Linked DNA regions of Nothobranchius furzeri. The protein of the gene in region 1 purifies or fractionates together with the protein of each later gene. This does not show direct contact. Links are inferred from orthologs where the notes say so. Each region holds a gene or a part of one and is shown on either strand. Other genes may lie near its edges.

Region 1 (9,827 bases):
CGACCCGCTTTAGAACCTGAGACATGGCATTTGAGGCCGTGGCCCCAAAACTGTGGAAAGCCTTGCTGACTAATTGTTCATTTAGGATGCAGCTGAAAAAGCTTCTTTTCAGACAAGCATCCCCCGTCTCTTTTACCTTTTATTAGAATTAGTTTTTAATGTATCACTTTTATATTTTTACCGTTTTTGTGAAGCACTTTGTGATTTTATCTGTGAAAAGTTTTCTAGAAATAAATATCTTCTTCGGGACAATGTCGAGTCTCCATTAACCTAACATGCATGTTTTGGTCTGTGGGAGGAAGCCAGAGCACCCTGGGGAGAACATGCCAACCCTGCAGAAAGACCACAACCGTTCCACCATAATGTGCTTTCTTTTGAGCAAAGAAAAGAAAATGCTGATATCAAAGATGAATTTCTACCCACTAAAATCATTCCTCCTGGTGAATAAACAGGCTTTTGTTTCTACGTGGCTACGGCACCAGTCTAGGATCTGTTTTTGTCAACACCTTCAAAAATGCTGCAGCACAACCCGGGATCACAGCCTTAGCCTCTGTATACAAGGTTCCTCCTTTGTTTATGACATCTTGATTGTTTTAAGCCTTTAAATGTACTTTGGTATTTTATTCTGCATCAGTTACTGAGGCCAGGTGAGAAAATGTTCCTGATGTACGAAGAGGCATATTAAAGCGCAGAAGAGATCAGGCTTCCTTTGTAGCTTAGTCTACAGCTTAGACTTTCACATCAGAACCCTGATGTCAACCCTAACCAGAAAAAAACTCACATTTTTCAATCTGTCACAAATAAAACAGAATGAGGTAAATATTAACAAGCTTTTGGGCTGCATTTGAAATTGTTTTCTTATCCTTATTGTTCCGGAATAGATTAAACATGAAGCATTCTACAACTTGTTTTTCTTTTACAGCACATCAGTGTGTGTGTGTGTGTGTGTGTGTGTGCGCGCGCCATGTGCCCAAGCCAATAGCGATGGCAAATTTAATTTCAAATGCAGTGCAGAGTTTTTACCTGACATCGGCACAACACTGAGTTTTAGGCAGAAAATTTAAATATTAACTAAAATGCAGTTAAGTGCAAAACTATTGACTACACGTGTCTGCAGCACGATTAGACACACATTTATATAGTTTATCAGAAAAAAAGTTGATTTGGGGGTGACTTGCTCTTTAAATTACATTTTAAAATCTGCTGTTTTATGTTCTTGCTCCTGGAAAACATTTTGAATTGCTTCTCTGTATGAAGTGTTCGATATAAATAAAAGATGCCTTGGAACATGTGCAAGGTACTGTTTATCCGTATTTGAAATATGAGCTGTAAAACATGCTGTTGTGTGAAACCATGTTACTAGATTGTTGCTGGACAATGAAGAGACAATAAAGCAAGCACACACCCACGAAAGAATCCCTAAGCAATGCTTTGCAAGAGCTTTTATAGAAATGGTCACACATCACACTAGACCTAAGCCAGAACAAAACAGGAACATCACAACCAGCAATCAGCACTCGCATCCCTGCAATCATCTAAGTAATGATGGAGTAAATGGACACGAAGGCGTCTTCGGTCCCCGACGTTCACGCTTCTTCTAACTCCACCAGCACCCCGTCACAGTCTTTAGGATGGAGAAACATGACCGGCTTCCCGTGAGCGCCTATTCGCGGCTCCGCTGACAAAGTTCTGATGTTCTTTGCTTTCAGATCGGCCACTGCAGCATTAATGTCATCTACCTGCAAACAGGCGGAAAACGTAGTTAATCATTAATCTAACTAGAATCACTGGGTTACTACCCTATTGAACCTCTGAGTGGGAAAAGTACAGCGTCAACACAAAATCACCCGTCATTAACCTCTTTTAATTTCACAAAATTACACACAAACCCTTTATGAACTATTATGGACTAGTCCACTAAGGTGTATCCGTGCTGCAGACTGTTTTGCTCCTGATGTGACAGGAAAGATGTCAGTGGTTTAATTATAGTTGCATAAATCAGTATGTTATTAGCGGGGTAAATATGTGTTGCGTCTTCTGACTCACGCCGTCGATGTCTCTCACCTCGATACAGACATGGTGCATCCCTCCGGACTTGTTCTTCTGTAAGAAACCAGAGATGGGGCTCTTCTCCCCCAGAGGATGGAGCAGCTCCAGCTTGGTGTTGCCCAGCTCCACGAACACCGTGTAGACACCGTGCTCAGGCAAAGGCACCTTTTCGCTCACCGTGGCTCCGAGCACATCGCGATACAAGGCCGTGGCCTTCTCCATGTCAGGGACGGCAATGGCTACATGGTTCAGCTTCCCCAATTTCCACAGAGACCCAGGAAGTGGCGCTGTCGTCGAATGTGACCTCAGGAGGGAAACGCCAGAACATCTGGAAATTCCTGCCACTGAATAAACACAATAAAATAAAAATAATGTAAAAATAATTAAGAGCTGAGCTGTTTAGATAAACAGCATTAGATACTGAATAAACCACTATCACTTCTTTAAATGGATATATTCCGGATACATTTTAATGTTTAATATTTACACAAAACTCCTTAAATCCAGGAAGCACCAGGGATATGAAACGTACGGTTTTGGTGAATGTTTTTGTACCACAGACGTGAATTTATTTAAAAAATGTACTAAACTGTGTCACATACATGATTCAGGAAACAATTTATAATTTAAGATATTTTAATTTGAGATACTTGTATGTGTGTGTGTGTGTGTGTGTGTGTGTGTGTGTGTACATACTGAGGACCATTTTGACCATTTTCCCCACAAATTGAGGACATGTTTTGGTCCTCGTTTTTTTTAAGCTTACCAGTTGGTTTTTGAGGTCTGGTGTGAATTAAGTTTTGGTTAAGGTTAGGGTTAGGAACAGATCAGCATTGGTTATGGTTAGGGTATGGGTATGAGTTAGGCATAGTGGAGTCACATAAATGAATGGAAGTCACTGAGGGTACTCACTACGATAGAAAGACAGACAATATTTATAGAAATGTAATATTTATAGAAATGTATTCATAAAAACATTTAGTTTTGACTGTATCTTCTCATTTTTAACCTGAAAACGCAAAAAGAAAGTAAACACAACACATCGCGAGTTGCGCTTAAGTCGAGAGAGACGATTTGGAGAGCAACTATCGGCAACTATACACTCTTATTTGTCAAGGCAGAATGCACCGGAGAGAAGCCTGACTGTAGCAGTTAGCTTTTATCGATATAAACAAACCTGCAACCTTCAGCAGCGACGTCGCCATTTTCATTATTATTTTGTTTTTACGTAGGAACCAATCTGTAGCGGCGGACGCGTTTCTGGTCGGGCCTGTTTACCTGCAACACTTTCGGCTACACATGTGTAGGAAAACATGGCGGGTGCAGAAATGTGGGCCGTACTGGAGGATTGTGTCAAAACGATAAATGTTAACACGGCACAACCAGAAAACTTTCTAAGGCGAGTGTTCTGCATTATTTTACTAAAGTTTTATTCTTTTAAACGAGATATTTACTTGACCAATCATCGGCTAAAGCTAAATGCTAATGCTAGCAAATACTTTAGAGAGCTGTTAGGTTAAACTTATTTAAATAAAATAGTTGAGAACGGCTTTCTTTCAGATTTAGAGTCACTTTTTTTATTAAATTAAATGAAAGAAAATGTCATTTTATTAGATTTGACACAATCGGTGACAGCTAATATCGAAAATTAGGATTTATTTGGTTTTATGATCTGTCTCTGACTAAAGGCTGTAGCTGAGTGACACCAACAGTACAGCAAGCTAATAATAATAAAACTCGAGATATTGTGAGACGAGAGGTTAATCCATCCGTGAAATAACATTAACCTGCTAGATTATCTGAAGTAACTGGACAGTGGTGCCTCAAAATGATCACATAGTCTTATGGTCTAATTTGATCTGGATGTGTCTGTTCTCGTTTAAGGACCTAAATGCTTATGTTGCCATACAATATAACTAAAACATTTAAAACTATGATTTACAGACAAAGGTTGTTTGCATGATATCCAAGATTTTGTCCTTTTTTCCTTATTTAATTTTGCTTTGATGATTAATTTCTAACCATTTTCACCATCATGAGTTTTGGTAAACAGCATGGATGTTGTATGATAGTTGGCTGTCACAGATGAAAGCTGCGCTGAGTTCAAACCAGTGGTCATTTTCAAAAGAACCTCTTTCCCTGCAACACGTTTGTCTCACTGATTGTTTTTCTACTTTTCAGCCTTCAAGATGGTGCTGCAGCAGAATTTACCTCCCTCACGAAGACCCTGTATGACCTCCACAAATCCCAGGAGCCTTCAGATTGTAAAGGCAGCCCGCTGGCTCAGCTCATTGTGGACAACTTTGACGAGGAGCAGATTTGGCAGGAGCTAGAGCTCCAGAATGAAGCTGTGCTGACATATTTCACTAAATCTATTGAAGGAGCATTGTCAGATGAGGCATTAACTTTGCTGCCAGAGGAAGAGGTGGTAGAAGATGAAAAAAGTGGTGATGAAGGCGAAGAAGAAATGAATAATGATGAAAATGTAATTAAAATTCCTCCTAGAATGCAAAAGAAAAAGGCTGTGGAAGCTGAAGAAGGGTCAGAGCAGGGCTCAGAAGATGACTCGGATATAGATTTTGATGTGGATGCTCTGGAGAAACGAGAGAAGAAGAAAGCGAGTGCACGGGCAGGCTCCAAAACAAAACTGGTTCCCTCAGAAGTTGACGATAAGTTCTTCAAACTGTCAGAAATGGAGTCATTTCTTGATGAAATGGACAAGCGAGAAGGAAGAGAGGAGGATGGCGACAACAATGTTGACTACTTCCAAGACCTGCACTCGGATGAGGATGACGATTTTGACCTCGGTGAAATACTGTCCTCAAAAAAGCCGAAGAAACACGCGGTATGATTTTATCACTCATCACTTTGGGCTCTGATCATATGGAAGAGACAAATAAATGTTTATTTTCTAACAGCAGGTAAAAAGCTCCAGAGATCTCAGGTACAAGGACTTTTTTGGTGCTGTGGGGGGCAAACCAGCTAAGACTGATGACCAGTCAGATGGAGATGATGATGCGAGTGAGGAAGAGGATGAAGAAGAGTTGGAAGAAGAAGAAGATGGTGATTATCGTGATGAAGAGGACAACGATGAGTGAGTCGATCTGGGTCTAATTTGTGCTGTGGTGAGGGGGGAAGCTTGTTCTGTGAATTCCAACTCATTAAAAAAATGTTTTCCTCAGGGATGAGCAAGAAAGTCGCTCCAAAGCAGCTCACAAGAAGGTGACCTTTGACCTCTCTGGAGAAGAGAGCAGTGAGGGGGAGGACATGGAGGAGATTTTTGGAGGAAAAGCTTCAAGTTCAGAAAAATCCGAATTAAAATCATCTTTTGAGAAACGGCAGGAAAAGGTAAAAGTTTCTCCACGGCTTGTTTTGCAGCAGAAGCTTCAGGATGAGAGGTCAGGTCACCTGGGCCCTCATTCATAGAAACTCTCCTATATTCCTGAAGGACATTTAGAATGTTCCTACGAAAATCCAAAATCCTGATTCATCAAACCACTCATGCACACCTTCCTCCACAATCAACTGTTGATAGATCCCACCTGTGTGTTCCCAGGTGCCCGTTCAGTCGTTTACATGCAGAAACGCCCTTAATTAACAATATTTGGTCACGGCACATCCTCAGCTCACCAGGGGAATCCCTGTAAATCAAATTATTGGAAGCAAGATCGCGGCACTGGCTGCTGAAGTAGAATAGAACCAAACAAGTTGCAGAGGTTGTAAATGCAGTCAGGACAGAGGAGAGGATCCTGTCAGAAATGAAGAAAATTGGTTCCACTTAAAATTAAATATGAAAAACACAAGAGTAGCGGACTGTTCGTTTTATGTAGTTATTTGCAGTTTACAGGGAGTGCAGAATTATTAGGCAAGTTGTATTTTTGGGGAATAATTTTATTATTGAACAACAACCATGTTCTCAATGAACCCAAACAACTCATTAATGTCAAAGCTGAATGTTTTTGGAAGTAGTTTTTAATTTGTTTTTAGTTTTAGCTATTTTAGGGGGATATCTGTGTGTGCAGGTGACTATTACTGTACATAATTATTAGGCAACTTAACAAAAAAACAAATGTATACCCATTTAAATTATTTATTTTTACCAGTGAAACCATTATAACTTCTCCACATTCCCAAATATACATTTCTGACATTCAAAAACAATACATAAACAAATCAGCGACCAATATAGCCACCTTTCTTTGCAAGGACACTCAAAAGCCTGCCATCCATGGATTCTGTCAGTGTTTTGATCTGTTCACCATCAACATTGCGTGCAGCAGCAACCACAGCCTCCCAGACACTGTTCAGAGAGGTGTACCGTTTTCCCTCCTTGTAAATCTCACATTTGATGATGGACCACAGGTTCTCAATGGGGTTCGGATCAGGTGAACAAGGAGGCCATGTCATTAGTGTTTCTTCTTTTATACCCTTTCTTGCCAGCCACGCTGTGGAGTACTTGGACGCGTGTGATGGAGCATTGTCCTGCATGAAAATCATGTTTTTCTTGAAGGATGCAGACTTCTTCCTGTACCACTGCTTGAAGAAGGGGTCTTCCAGAAACTGGCAGTAGGACTGGGAGTTGAGCTTGACTCCATCCTCAACCCGAAAGGCCCCACAAACTCATCTTTGATGATACCAGCCCAAACCAGTACTCCACCTCCACCTTGCTTGCGTCTGAGTCGGACTGGAGCTCACTGCCCTTTACCAATCCAGCCACGGGCCCATCCATCTGGCCCATCAAGACTCACTCTCATTTCATCAGTCCATAAAACCTTAGAAAAATCAGTCTTGAGATATTTCTTGGCCCAGTCTTGATGTTTCAGCTTGTGTGTCTTGTTCAGTGGTGGTCGTCTTTCAGCCTTTCTTACCTTGGCCATGTCTCTGAGTATTGCACACCTTGTGCTTTTGGGCACTCCAGTGATGTTGCAGCTCTGAAAAATGGCCAAACTGGTGGCAAGTGGCATCTTGGCAGCTGCACGCTTGACTTTTCTCAGTTCATGGGCAGTTATTTTGCTCCTTGGTTTGTCCACACGCTTCTTGCGACCCTGTTGACTATTTTGAATGAAACGCTTGATTGTTCGATGATCACGCTTCAGAAGCTTTGCAGTTTTACGACTGCTGCATCCCTCTGCAAGATATCTCACTATTTTTGACTTTTCTGAGCCTGTCAAGTCCTTCTTTTGACCCATTTTGCCAAAGGAAAGGAAGTTGCCTAATAATTATGCACACCTGATATAGGTGTTGATGTCATTAGACCACACCCCTTCTCATTACAGAGATGCACATCACCTAATATGCTTAACTGGTAGTAGGCTTTCGAGCCTATACAGCTTGGAGTAAGACAACATGCATGAAGAAGATGATGTGGACAAAATACTCATTTGCCTAATAATTCTGCACTCCCTGTATATCCAAGGGGCTGAATGCAGGTTCTGTTTGTTCTGGTTTTTGTAGTCAACGATCTGATATGGACCGGTATCAGACCCATGCTTTTTTTTTGCTCCAAAAGAGGAATGATGTCCTTCAGGATCAGTGCGCTCATGGAAAACGTGTCCCCTCCAGAGTGAATGCCCTACCAAATCCTCTAATAACACGAGATCAGCCATGCTACAGTGTCAGCTTCCTGTTGGCCACAGGTGCTAGCATTCGTTATGTGATGAAGCCGTTTTTCAGCCACAGTCACTTATTGCTAAAATAATTTCTGGATGAGGAACAAACATGGATGACTGAAACCTTCAGTGTTGCAGTTCTGCTGTTCTACCACTAGATGCTGTTTGTACGCAGGCTCAGAGCTGTTCTTACATTTAGAAATATTTTCACACACAGGTACAAAATAGGGAATACCAAACAATGCGTGAAATTGTTTCTAAGCACAAAACGCACACAGACCTGTGCGTAAACACGGTTGATGAATTCAGGCCCTGTAGCCTCTGAGCTGTCCAGATGATTTAAGGTGGGCCTTGGACGGGAGCAGGATCTCTCTGAGCTGCTGCTGTCGGTGACAAACGGTGAACATCATCCCAGAGGGAGGTTGAAACACGGTGTTCTTGTGAGTCTCAGGGCCTCGCTCTTGTGCGCCTCGAGTTTTAAACATGTCGGCCAGATAAACACTCCCTCTCGTGCCAGAGTCGTCGCATGCATCTGGATCCCATGTTGAATCCATCTTAGCTGCTTCTCACTTTAGTTTGCAGGATGGTGAGACTACTTTGGGAGGGTTTATCAAATAAAATGAGGTGAATTTGTAAACAAATTGAGACATTTTCTGACTAAATTACTAGGGATGCACGATGTATCAGCATCAATATCGGTATCGGCCGATGTCAGTCATTTTTTAATAAATCGTTCCGATAAATTAAACTGGCCAACATTAACAACCGGTATTGTTCCCATCTTGTTTACGTTTGTTTATCTGTTTCAGTCGTGTGACAGTGATTGTAATCATCTCAGAAGCGTAAATGTGTGTGGTGTGTGTACGTAATAACGTCAATTCAGCTATAATCATTTTCATCCTGCTGATTTTAGAAGCACTAATGTCAGTATATCGGTTATTGGCCATAACTGTGATATTAATATCGGATATCGATTATTGGCCCAAAAACTTCACTTCGGTGCATCACTATAAATACATGACATTTTGTACAACAGTCGCAGTTTGTTTGCCCCACATGACGTGTGTCTTGTGCACCAATTCAGTGTGATTCTGAAATATGAGAGTTTTCTCATAATTTGGTGTTTTCATGCAGTCGCTAACAAATGCAGCCCAGTGAGATTCTGGTTGGAATCTGTTGCCAGGGCCTTAACCCTCCACCAGGCGGAGACAGGCCCCCAGAGCCCGCATTCACTCCTCTCTCTTTTCTTATTTGCTTTCAATTTTCATCCTCTTTTACGAACATCAGTCTTAACCTCTCTCAATCTGTTTTGTTGCAAAAAAACGCACAGTTTACCTGCAAGAGTTTAAAATGGTATCAACTGGAATTTTTTTAATCCACCTTGTAGATGTCTCAGAAAATCCAAGATTTGGAAAAGGCGGCTCTGGCGGAGAAGCCGTGGCAGTTGTCGGGCGAGGTGACGGCACAGTCCCGTCCAGAGAACAGCATGCTGGAGGAGGACGTGGAGTTCGAGCAGACATCGAGACTGGGTGAGCAAACCTTCCGGTGTTCGCTTCTGAGTCTGTGGATTTCTTAAAACCAAACTATGCAACTTTTTCATAATTGTAAATCATTTTCTTGAGTCGGTATGTGCTAAAACAACACAGGGTTAATGAAATGTCAGACCCCTACCGCCTTCTGTGGCCAAAAAAAAAAAATCACACTTGCAACTTCAGAGTGCCGGTCCAGTCTCTGTTGGACTTAGTAAAGTGGAGCTGACATGCCATTGGCTGCAGTCTGCTTCCAGCATGTTGTCCTCCATGTTTTAGATCGTGAACACAGCTGATTCATTTAATTTAGTTATGAATCACTCCTGTAGACAGTAAGGAAGGCTGAGGAGACATAATTTTTGGTTCTACTTTTTGGAGACTAGGGGGTGCTAAAAGTAAGCCAAAACTTACAAGGCATGGGTGGAGACCATGGAGACTTATTTCATCCACACTTCATGTTAGGAAAACACTTCTGAAAGAGGCGTCGCCTGGTGGACTGAGAGCGCGGCACTGAGGTAGTACAATATTTTCCTGATTTAGGGTTTATTACTCAGGTAAGGGTAAAAAAGTATCTGATTAGAAGGCTACTTGAGTACTGAGTATCATCTGATCTAATATTTTTAAAATGATGACATCAAAC
Region 2 (10,092 bases), on another chromosome or scaffold:
ACAAAAAGTCTAAAAAAATCCTTTAATCTGAAAAGTGAAAATGAAAAATTTTAACAGAGCTTCTGCACCAAGCTGCCTCCTTGTGAAGCGACAGGTTCCTGGTGGAGACGTACCTTTGGAGCAGGTGTAGATGATTATGGTGGTCATGGGGAGCAGGGGAAGAAGGACCCAGCGAGCAAAGCTCCAGATGAACGCTGCTGAGGCTGCGTGGTGTAGAGCACAGGGTAGGTCAGATACACACAAACACACCGTCTGTCAGCAGCTGTTTAAACCACAGACGGTCTCAGGTTTACAACGCCGAATGAGACTGGAGGACACATCTGGTGATGCAGCCGATACTATGGGGCTAGACCCGTGCCAAAACCCGTGCACGTGGTTTTGGCACGGGTCTAGCCCCATATGAACCCGTGTCTGACTGGAGAGGCGAGCAGGAGACCAGAAGTAATACAGCTAGAACGTTCTGAGGAAGCCGGTGCCTACCATGTGATGTGATACCCAACACCACCATTCACTGCTGGTTTAAGCCAAAGACAAACATCTCTCAACTTCAAACCAATTGTTTATTTACTGTGGTGGCCATCTTTATTTTTCGGATATTTTAAGGTAAAAACGGCGTCCGTGTCCAAACCCAGAGGCAGCGTCCTTCTGAGTACGCTTTTTATGGCAGATTACGTCACAGCAAACATCTAGATCGTCCAAATCCAAAATCTGCTCAAAATGTGTCCTCATGTCCCAGAAATTCAAGGACAAGTTATTGGCAAAGGCCGTCCCAGGGTCTACCGCAGGCTGAATGGGAGATCTCTGTTTTAGTAAAAGTAGAGGATGAAGCAGGAGGATTACAGTTTCAAATGGTGTGTTCATATCTGGCAGGAATTCTTCATTTACATTTGGGTTTTTAAACATTTTTGTCAAAAATAAGCAAAAGCAGTCTAGGAAGGACTTGGCCTATGTGGATTATGTAGGACGGGTCCTTAATAGGATGCTGCCCCTGAATTTGGACACAGATACAGTCACATCACTGTCAGCTACTAACGTACCAGATACGACCTCGTGTTAATGAAACGAACAAAAACATAAGTGGAAAAGACAGAAACTGGGAGATCATTTCCCACTGCTCCCACAGAGGACATGCTTCACCTGTGTGTGATGACTAATGGGCCTTTAAAACAGGTGTGTCCAAAACACGGCCCGGGGGCCATTTGTGTCCCTCCAGCAGGCTGTTGGGGTAGATCAACACTTTTTATGATTTCTTTGTTCAGATTTTTACTATTATGGCTATTTTAATCATTTTTGACCCATGAGAATAAATAAAAAACAGTTTCAGCTTTTTTATTTCTACTCTCATCTTGAGAAGTTTGGACATCTGCTCTAAAACCTGCTGGACTGAGTCCTGTGCCAGTCTTCTGCCCTCTGGTGGAAGCTTTAGGTGCTGCAGGTGTTCATGTGTCCTAGATTTACACAATAAAATATAACGGATGACTTCATAATTGTTCGTTTCCACCATCATCATTTTCTGATTTTCACTTTCTGCATCAGTGTTAATGAGCGAACAACTTTTGATTAAACTGAATAAAACTTTTAAGTAACCCAACATCTGTGATGAACAGCTGATCTTTATTAACTCTAGAATAAGGACAGACTTTTTAAGTTCTTACATCACCAGATGGATTTAGGTAATAAGAGCTAACGTCTTAACTCTGGTGTTGTGGTCCAGCGTTTTCTACGACCACTTCGGTCCCAAATATGTTGTTTACAAACACAAAACTAGGAGGATGTTTACTGTGTAACTTTTATTGTTCCAAATGAATAAAATAATACTAAAATATTATTTGCTGTTAGGTTTCTTGTATGGATGTTAAATGGTACCAAACATTAGGATGTTTATTGCTGTTGTTAATAATAATAATAATAATAATAATAGTATTATTATTGTTATAGGGCAGCGCAGTGGCGCAGTGGTTAGAGTTGTTGCCTTGTAGCAAGAAGGTCCTGGGTTCGATTCCCGGCCTGGGATCTTTCTGCATGGAGTTTGCATGTTCTCCCTGTGCATGCGTGGGTTCTCTCCGGGTTCTCCGGCTTCCTCCCACAGTCCAAAAACATGACAGTTAGGTTGGTTGGTGTGTGTGTGTGTGTGTGTGTGTGTGTGTGTGTGTGTGTGTGTGTGTGTGTGTGAGTGATTGTTTGTTTGTCCTGTGTGTCTCTGCGTGTACCCCTCCTGATTGCCCGTTGACTGCTGGAGATAGGCACCAGGCCCCCCCCACCCCCGCGACCCCACGTGGACAAGCGGGTTCAGACAATGGATGGATGTTATTGTTATTATTAATAATAATAAATTACATTTATATAGTTCTTTTCTAGGCACTCAAACACTTTCTATTATTCACACCCTGCCGGCGCTTATGACATCAGACTTTTATTAATTACTACTGAACAGAAGTGGGACCTGAAGATGTTTACTCACAGCTGTGGATGTAACCTTCAGCCAGCTTGATGATGGTGTTATTTCTGCTCAGAACACCACACCAGAACACTCCTCCTTTACCCGGCCCCAGCACTTCCACACTGAAGGACCCGGAGTCCTGGGTCACCCTGAGCCGGCCTCCATCCACTGACTGGGCTGTGTGGCTGAAGGTGAGCCCGGTGCAGCAGTCTGCTGAGTTTCGACGGCACCAGACCCTCAGCAGGTTCTGGTGCTGTGGCTCATGGGGACACCACAGCTTCTGCCAAAGAACAGCTGCCCCATCACCTGCAAACAGTAAGAAACTGCTGTCAAATCATCATCATCATCATCATCATTATTATTACATGTCTGTTTCAGATTAATTCACCAGCCAGTGGATGAGGTGAACATTAGAAAAGCTTTGCTTAAAAAAATCTAAAATACATTTATTATATCAGTAAACTTGACTGATCCCATTTAAAGTTCTCTACTTAAAGCAGTTTACCATCTATTATCATTACAATGTTGACTCTTACCTGTAAGTAAAAACAAAATCACAATAAAATAATGCATGTCACGGCCACTGGCTGAGTAGCTCGAGTCTGCCTGATGAAGAGAAAGAGTCAAGTGGAAAAGGGTTTTAAAGATAACCAAACCTTATCTTTAGACCCAACAGGAAACATCATCACCACTGATGCTTCTGTTTGTTTCCTCTTGCTGGAAGAGCATATCATTGCTTCTCATAAAGCAAGGCACCTTCACGTTTTAATAAGTGTAATTTGAATACAACTTTTCTTTACAGCCATTTGCTTTCTGACATTCTGATTGGTTCACTGCCAACAGTGAGGCGGATTACGGGGGACGTGAAGCGGTCTGCAGGGATGAGGTCCACAAACTGAGTGTTGTGCATCAAACAGCCTGACACTCTACACCACCAAGACCAAGGAACTTGTCCTTGACTTCAGGTGAAACGTAGTGGACCCCGCCCCTTTCTTCATCAATGGTGAACGTGTACAGCAAGTAGAGTCATTCAAGTTCCGTGGAATACAAATCTCTGGCAAGCTGTCCTGGTCAGTAAACACCTCAGCACTCGTCAGGAAGGCCCAGCTGCAATTTCTGAAGGTGCTCAGGATGGAGAAGCTCCATCATTGAGTCTGCTGACATACGCCATGACTGTGTGGTACTGCAGCTGCATAGAGGGTGACAGGAAGAGACTGCAGAAAGATTGCATAAAACATCATCGGCTGCCCTCTCTGTCTACAATCCACAGTTCCTGCTATCTCTGCGGAGCAGCTAACATTCTGAAGGACACCCCGCGTCCAGGCTTCTACCTTTTTAGCATGTTGCCCTCTGGTAGGTGCTTCAGATCTCTACAAGCCAGAACAAAGAGATTAAGGAACTGTTTCTTTCCTGAGCAATCACAGTATTCATCTCAAACTTGCACAAACGTTAAGTGTAATGGAATATTGCACCTTAGATTTACTTGTATTATGTTATGTACGTTTTTGGAGCTGCTGACCACACACACACACACACACACACACACACACACACACACACACACACACACACACACACACACACACACACACACACTCACACACACTCACACACACACAATTCTTTTAAACCTCCTGCTTATTTCTATATTTTGTATGTAATAGCCTTTATGCACCTTATGAAGACGTGTATGCTTATTTTATATTTTGTAAATCAAATAATCTGTGGCTTTTATTATGAAACGCTCGTGAGTCAGTATCAGGCGTTTTGATTGGTCTTCCTGTCAGCCAATAGCAGCAGGTATTCGTCGTGTTTCCGGGTTCTTCTTTTCCATGTGACTTGTGAAGTTTCTCAGTACCATCATGGTGAGTTTACTGGTTTTGTGTGAATCTTTAGTAGTTTTATCGGTAACCGTCCGCTGGGAATATAGAGCTAAGTTAGCGATTTGTTTAAGCTAACTTTATCCCGCCTAGTTTAGCGCTGGTGGAGCTAAGCTAACATGAGCCAAGCTAACAAACGGGAGGTCTACCATGAAAACCTAAGATAGGTTATTATTTAAATCCTGTGTGTGTGCGTGTGCACGTGTGTGTGTGTGTGTGTGTGTGTGTGTGATTTGTGAAGGTGCTCTGATGCCGCTGGAGTGGACAGCACTCACCTAGCTGAGCGTTTCATGTTTTTGTTATTTATGGTGAGGCTGTGGAAACTGGCTCAGCTGGTGGTTTCTGTGTGTTGGTAGCTTCGTCGAGAGGTGAGACTGAGGCGGGAGTACCTGTACAGGAAGGCTCAAGAGGACCGGCTGAGAACAATCGAGGAGAAGAAACAGAAGATAAAGGGCGCTCTGGAGGGTGAGGGTTTTATTTCTTCTGTATCACGAGAGATTGGCGCTGTGTTGCCATCCGGCTGTAACGGGTTATCTCGACTGCAGAGAATCGTCTGATTCCAACTGAAGTACGGAGAGAAGCCCTGCAGCTGCAGAAGCTTCTGGACTATGATGACCAAGGGGCAGAAGGTGAGTGTTGGCTGGTGTCATTGTGAGCTCCACATATGTTCTGGGCCTCTTTTTAACGATCCGCTGTTCCTCCTGAAGGTGTCAGCTCACATGTGGACGATGAGTACAAGTGGGCCGGAGTAGAAGATCCAAAAGTCATGGTCACAACGTCCAGAGACCCGAGCTCTAGACTGAAGATGTTTGCCAAGGTTTGTGATGCCTTCACAAAGGTTAGATGATAGCTGTGAGGGAAGCTCAGGTTCCGTAGCTAGACCTGGTCCAGGGGAATGTCATCCTTCTGGGGATCTGGTGAGACCTGGTCTGGATAGAGCGTCTTTTAATAAAAGATTAAATAATCCCGGTTTTCAGAAGGGGACGACTGTGTTGGGACATTTAGGGTCTAGATAAAGAAAAGGAACGGCCAACATTCGTCAGCAGAGATCTTTATGAAAATGACACATCGGGTTTCGTAGAAGATGATAAACTTCTTGTTCCTCTTCCAGGAGGTGAAGCTGATGTTTCCCGGAGCTCAGCGCATGAACAGAGGAAACCATGAGATTGCTGCTCTGGTTCGAGCCTGTAAAGCTAATGAAGTTACAGACCTCATCATCATCCACGAAACAAGAGGACAGCCAGGTATGCTGCAGTTTCCCTCCTGCATTCTGGTTTCTGATTGGTCCATGTGGACTTCAGCAGGTAACCTCCTAGAAATCAAAAAAGTGTTGGTGATAAGTTTCAGATGATTCCACCACCCAAGGCACAAAGCTGTGGAACTGTATGAAAACTAGGAAGTACACCACTACCTGTGATGGTCTAAGCTCAGAGTCCCCAGTTAACACCGGGGGTAGGCACGTTACGGCAGCAGCGCGGTCTGCTCATGAGCTCCAGGGAGTGTCTGCACTCGGGAGATCACGATCACTGGAAAGTTGACGTATCTTCTAAAACAGTGGTACTCAGCCTTTTTTCACTGATGTACCCCCGTGAAATATTTTTTCCAGCCAAGTACCCCTAATCAGCGCAAAACCATTTTTGGTTGTAAAAAACAAAAGACCTTAAATAGAGCACGGTGCCTTCAGTGACTGATTTATTAAACTTTGAAACTGATAAACAAGTACAAAATTCAACCATTTGAAAAAAAAACTATTTTGAATATTTTAAATGTTAATACTCCATAACTAAATGTATTGGAAATATTTTTCATCACTAAAATGTGATTCTAATTAATTAATTGAAAACATTCACCATAAAACTATTTAAAACCATAAGATTACCCATTGAAAAATCCATAAATATGCAAAACACTGCACATTTTTTGTAGTATCTCTTGAACTATTTGGAAAAAAATATATATAATGAGAAATATTTAAAAAAATATCAAATACAGGCCAAAGAAATGATTAAGCTAATTATAATTAAAGATTTGTTCTCATAAAAAACATATCAACATAAAGTGTTCTCTTTTGGGATCATAGTACATCTGTTCTCTAAAAGAAATCATTAACGTCATTTTAAATAACAACAATTGCTAAAAACAAATGTAAATCTCAAAATATGTTTTTAAAAATCAAAAAGAAGACTGAAATCTTAACATGACTGCACTGATCGGAGTGTTTTTACAGACTTTTTAGTGAGACTCTTGGGCTTCACTGGGGATCTTTTTCATCCTTGGTGGCACGGAGGCAACTGCTGTGATCAAGCTCTTTTTTAGACACAGTCTGCTTCTCTGATCAGTGTCGTTAGCTAATTTCTCCCCACCATGGACGTAATTTTTTTGGGGGGGGGGGTCAGTTTAAAAAAAGAGGGGGGGGGGTGTTTTAAAAAGAACTAAAAATGGTTTCTGAATGATCTCTTGGTGTTCTGGTGTCGTTCCAGATGGTCTGGTTGTGTGCCATTTACCGTTTGGACCTACGGCCTACTTCACGCTCTACAACGTGGTGATGAGACACGACGTTCCTGATATCGGCACCATGTCAGAGGCCTACCCCCACCTCATTTTTCACAACTTCACCTCACGACTCGGCAGAAGGGTGAGCTCCAACCGTGCACTGCGCGTGCACGCACACACACACACGTGGTATTCTTGTTCCCTTGTTGGTTATGCAACTAACTAGTTGTGTTCACACACAGATATCAAATATCCTCAAGTATCTGTTCCCTGTACCCAAGGAGGACAGCAGGCGTGTGATCACGTTTGCCAACCAGGAGGACTTCATCTCTTTCAGGTCGGTGAGAGAGGACCTCCTCACATGAAATAAGTTTTTGTTGTAAAACCAAACGTTTCTTTTTTCAGACATCACACCTACAAAAAAACTGACCACAAGAACATTGAACTGACGGAGGTGGGACCACGTTTTGAGATGAAGTGTGAGTATGGATCTGGCTTTTACCATCTCTGATCTTTGGTTCGCAGCAGGGGTGATGGAACAACATGCATCTGCCAGGTTCTGCACCTACTGTCCCTCTTAAAACCATTCGTCTGTTCACCAGCTCAGTTATGTTGAATGCATGAATATTAAGTTATTCATAGAATATTATTATTCATTACAGAAATAGTTAATACTTTATCGACCCCTGGAGGAAATTGTTTCTCTGCATTTAACCCATTCCTGAGGAAGCTGCTATTTATACGGCGCCAACGGCACAACTATGGGCTCAGGATCTTCCCCGAGGATGCTTTGACACTGAGGCTTGGGAACGAACCACTAACCTACAGATTCTCGTTTTAGCCACTCTATCGTTACCGATACTTTTTAAAATGTGTTTTCTGTGAATGAAAAGCTCTAGCACACCTGTTTCAGGTGGTAGAAGTCAGTCTGAGGGGGACAGGAGCCTTACTCACCCCTGATGGGTTAACACTAAAACGACTCTTCCACTGCCTCGTTCTTCTTAAGGAGAAAATACAGCGTGGATGTTTTATCTCCGCAAATAACACAAGCCTGAATGTGTTCCACCGTTATGTGGAGTCGCTAATGCTAATGGTTAGCCACTTCTAAAGCCGGGCGTACACTGTGTGACTTTTTCACTTTTTTGAGCCGATTTTCCAGTCGTGCGAGAATCCACGAGATCGGGGCGAGTTTTGCGCCGAGCGGTCGTGTAGTGTACAGGGGGTTACGAGAGGCGATTAACACCACGTGACCAGCTACCGATCAGCAATCGTGAGCTCGCATGGACTTCTGGCGTGTTTAATATTTTGCTCGTCCCTCGTGAGGGTATCGCACTGTTGAAGCGGCGCTGCGAGCAGCTGCGACCCAAAAAGTATCAGAACCGCTCACGGCGCATGCGCAATCCTGCATCAACACCGCTCCCCGCTATTTCCCTAACAACACACACTGTTCGTTTTTGTTTCTACACGTTTTTTTATTCACAAAGATTGTCAAGAAAGCGTGTTTGTCGTGTTCATGTCAAATTAAACTGATCACAAAACACAGATTCACTTTCTTTATTTCGTTTTCCTCATCCAACCCCCATAAATCCCTGTGTGTCCTCCTGCAGCACTCCCGAAGGACAACAGGCAAAACAAGACAAAAACGTTTGACGTGCTGAGTAAAAACTGCTATTTTTAGCATATATTTTAGGTCTAATGTGTTGCTACCAGACGTACAGTGTGAGCAGTCAGGTCGCATCCGAGAACTGGGTCGTGCAGTGTGAGCGCCTGGCTCGTGAGATCTGCTCTGCGAGGAAGTTGTACAGTTTGAGCTGAAGCTGAACGCTGCGAGTGAAAAAGTTGCACAGTGTACGCCCGGCTTTAGGTGGGCAGGGCCAAAAATTCCAAATTTCCCTGTGAGGTGGAAGAGATTGGCTTTTAATGACCTGATCATTTTCCTGTCTATTTCCTTGCTGCTGTTTTTGCAGGAAATAACGTTAGAGGAAAAGTTTCACGGTCTGCGTTTTCGAAGAACTCAGGAAGCCCGATTGTATTTCAAAAAGAATAGTATTAACATGGTTTCTCAGTGAAATAAGTACAACTGTGTGGGATGATTTTAGTATGTGTTACTTACTGGTTCCTCCTGTGTTTAGTGTTCATGATCAAACTGGGAACTCTGGAGAACGAGAGCACAGCTGAAGTTGAGTGGCGTCACCATACATATACACACACGGCTAAGAAGAGGAGGTTCCTCAGTGTGCAGTAGAGAGGAACGGCGACGGAATCAACAGAGCAGTAGTGGAGAGCCGCCTGGAGGATCTCTGGTTTTCATGACAAACTGGAAACTTTGCTCATCAGAAGCATCTTCTCATCCATCAGCGAGATTTGTGGTGTCACCTAATCAGTCAGACCCCTGCTGTTATCAGCCTTTCCATTTTATAATAAAATATCTTTAATTGAGTACTGCCTCTTTTTACTCGTCTGTTTTACAACCATCTGTAGGATAACTACTGCTTCAGCTGTTATGTAACCCCAGCTGATGCAATGGGTAGCTTCCCCTTTCCTAAGCAATCATGGAAGCATCTTGTGCTCATAATACATGTTATAAGAAGGATCAGAGACAACTTGTGAGGAGATTGCAGAAACTACTAGAGCTGGGTTAAGAACTGTCCAGCCAATAATTAAATATGAAGGAATGAGGAGAACCATCGTCTTCCAGGGAGAAATATGGGAAATGGGTGTTTATAATCAGTGATCACTGACGTTTGGTGAAATTGAGGAAAAACTACTATGTTTAAGGGTTTTTAATGAGAAGGGAACTCGGGGGGTTGGGTCTGAACAGTTGTGAAGAAAAAGGCTTCAGTTTGCAAGGAAACTTAGAGACTGGACTCTGGAGCAATGGAAGAAGGTCTGATGAGTCCAGATTTACCAAGCTGTGCTCTTGTTCTTTTAGTTTTTGTTAAAGTTCAATAATGTTCATTTTCAGTTGCTCGTCTACGGAGAGTGAGCACCAACCTGGACTCTTTGGTTTGTGGTTCTTGGTGATTTTAACAAAGCTAACAGCCTCCCACAACAGCTACCAAGGTATGCAGTTTATTAAATAGACCACAGAGGGGAGGACCTCCCATACTTCGCTGTGGCTGGGCCACTTGGTCAACATGATGACCCACCTGATGCCCTCATACAGGCAGAAGCTGGAACTCCGCAAACCTGCAGTGGGACTGCTAGAGAGTGGGCCTGTGGTTAGTCTCCAGGCATGCCTGGATTGTACAGACTGGGATGTGTTCAAAACTACAATCT

What was found.
Region 2: the proteins of mphosph10 (region 1) and imp4 purify together in Homo sapiens (affinity purification with mass spectrometry; 3 studies listed by BioGRID and IntAct, with this or other methods). This does not show direct contact. The link is inferred for Nothobranchius furzeri from reciprocal best matches to the Homo sapiens genes MPHOSPH10 and IMP4.

Annotation. Positions count from the first base shown.
Region 1 is NC_091749.1:64,483,444-64,493,270, forward strand, and holds the start of mphosph10 (U3 small nucleolar ribonucleoprotein protein MPP10), read left to right. Parts: upstream 1-3,296; 5' UTR 3,297-3,362; coding exon 3,363-3,448; intron 3,449-4,230; coding exon 4,231-4,894; intron 4,895-4,967; coding exon 4,968-5,143; intron 5,144-5,231; coding exon 5,232-5,397; intron 5,398-9,045; coding exon 9,046-9,187; intron 9,188-9,827. Other genes in the region: mcee (methylmalonyl-CoA epimerase, mitochondrial), read right to left, coding at 1,587-1,739, 2,065-2,393, 3,227-3,260. UniProt on the Homo sapiens protein: Component of the 60-80S U3 small nucleolar ribonucleoprotein (U3 snoRNP). Required for the early cleavages during pre-18S ribosomal RNA processing. Part of the small subunit (SSU) processome, first precursor of the small eukaryotic ribosomal subunit.
Region 2 is NC_091757.1:26,550,774-26,560,865, reverse strand, and holds imp4 (U3 small nucleolar ribonucleoprotein protein IMP4), read left to right. Parts: upstream 1-4,205; 5' UTR 4,206-4,302; coding exon 4,303-4,305; intron 4,306-4,676; coding exon 4,677-4,785; intron 4,786-4,865; coding exon 4,866-4,949; intron 4,950-5,027; coding exon 5,028-5,137; intron 5,138-5,431; coding exon 5,432-5,564; intron 5,565-6,800; coding exon 6,801-6,955; intron 6,956-7,055; coding exon 7,056-7,150; intron 7,151-7,218; coding exon 7,219-7,292; intron 7,293-8,945; coding exon 8,946-9,058; 3' UTR 9,059-9,252; downstream 9,253-10,092. Other genes in the region: uncharacterized protein, read right to left, coding at 114-203, 2,462-2,746, 2,977-3,096, 3,275-3,366, 3,607-3,629, 3,739-3,810, 3,863-3,871. UniProt on the Homo sapiens protein: Component of the 60-80S U3 small nucleolar ribonucleoprotein (U3 snoRNP). Required for the early cleavages during pre-18S ribosomal RNA processing. Part of the small subunit (SSU) processome, first precursor of the small eukaryotic ribosomal subunit.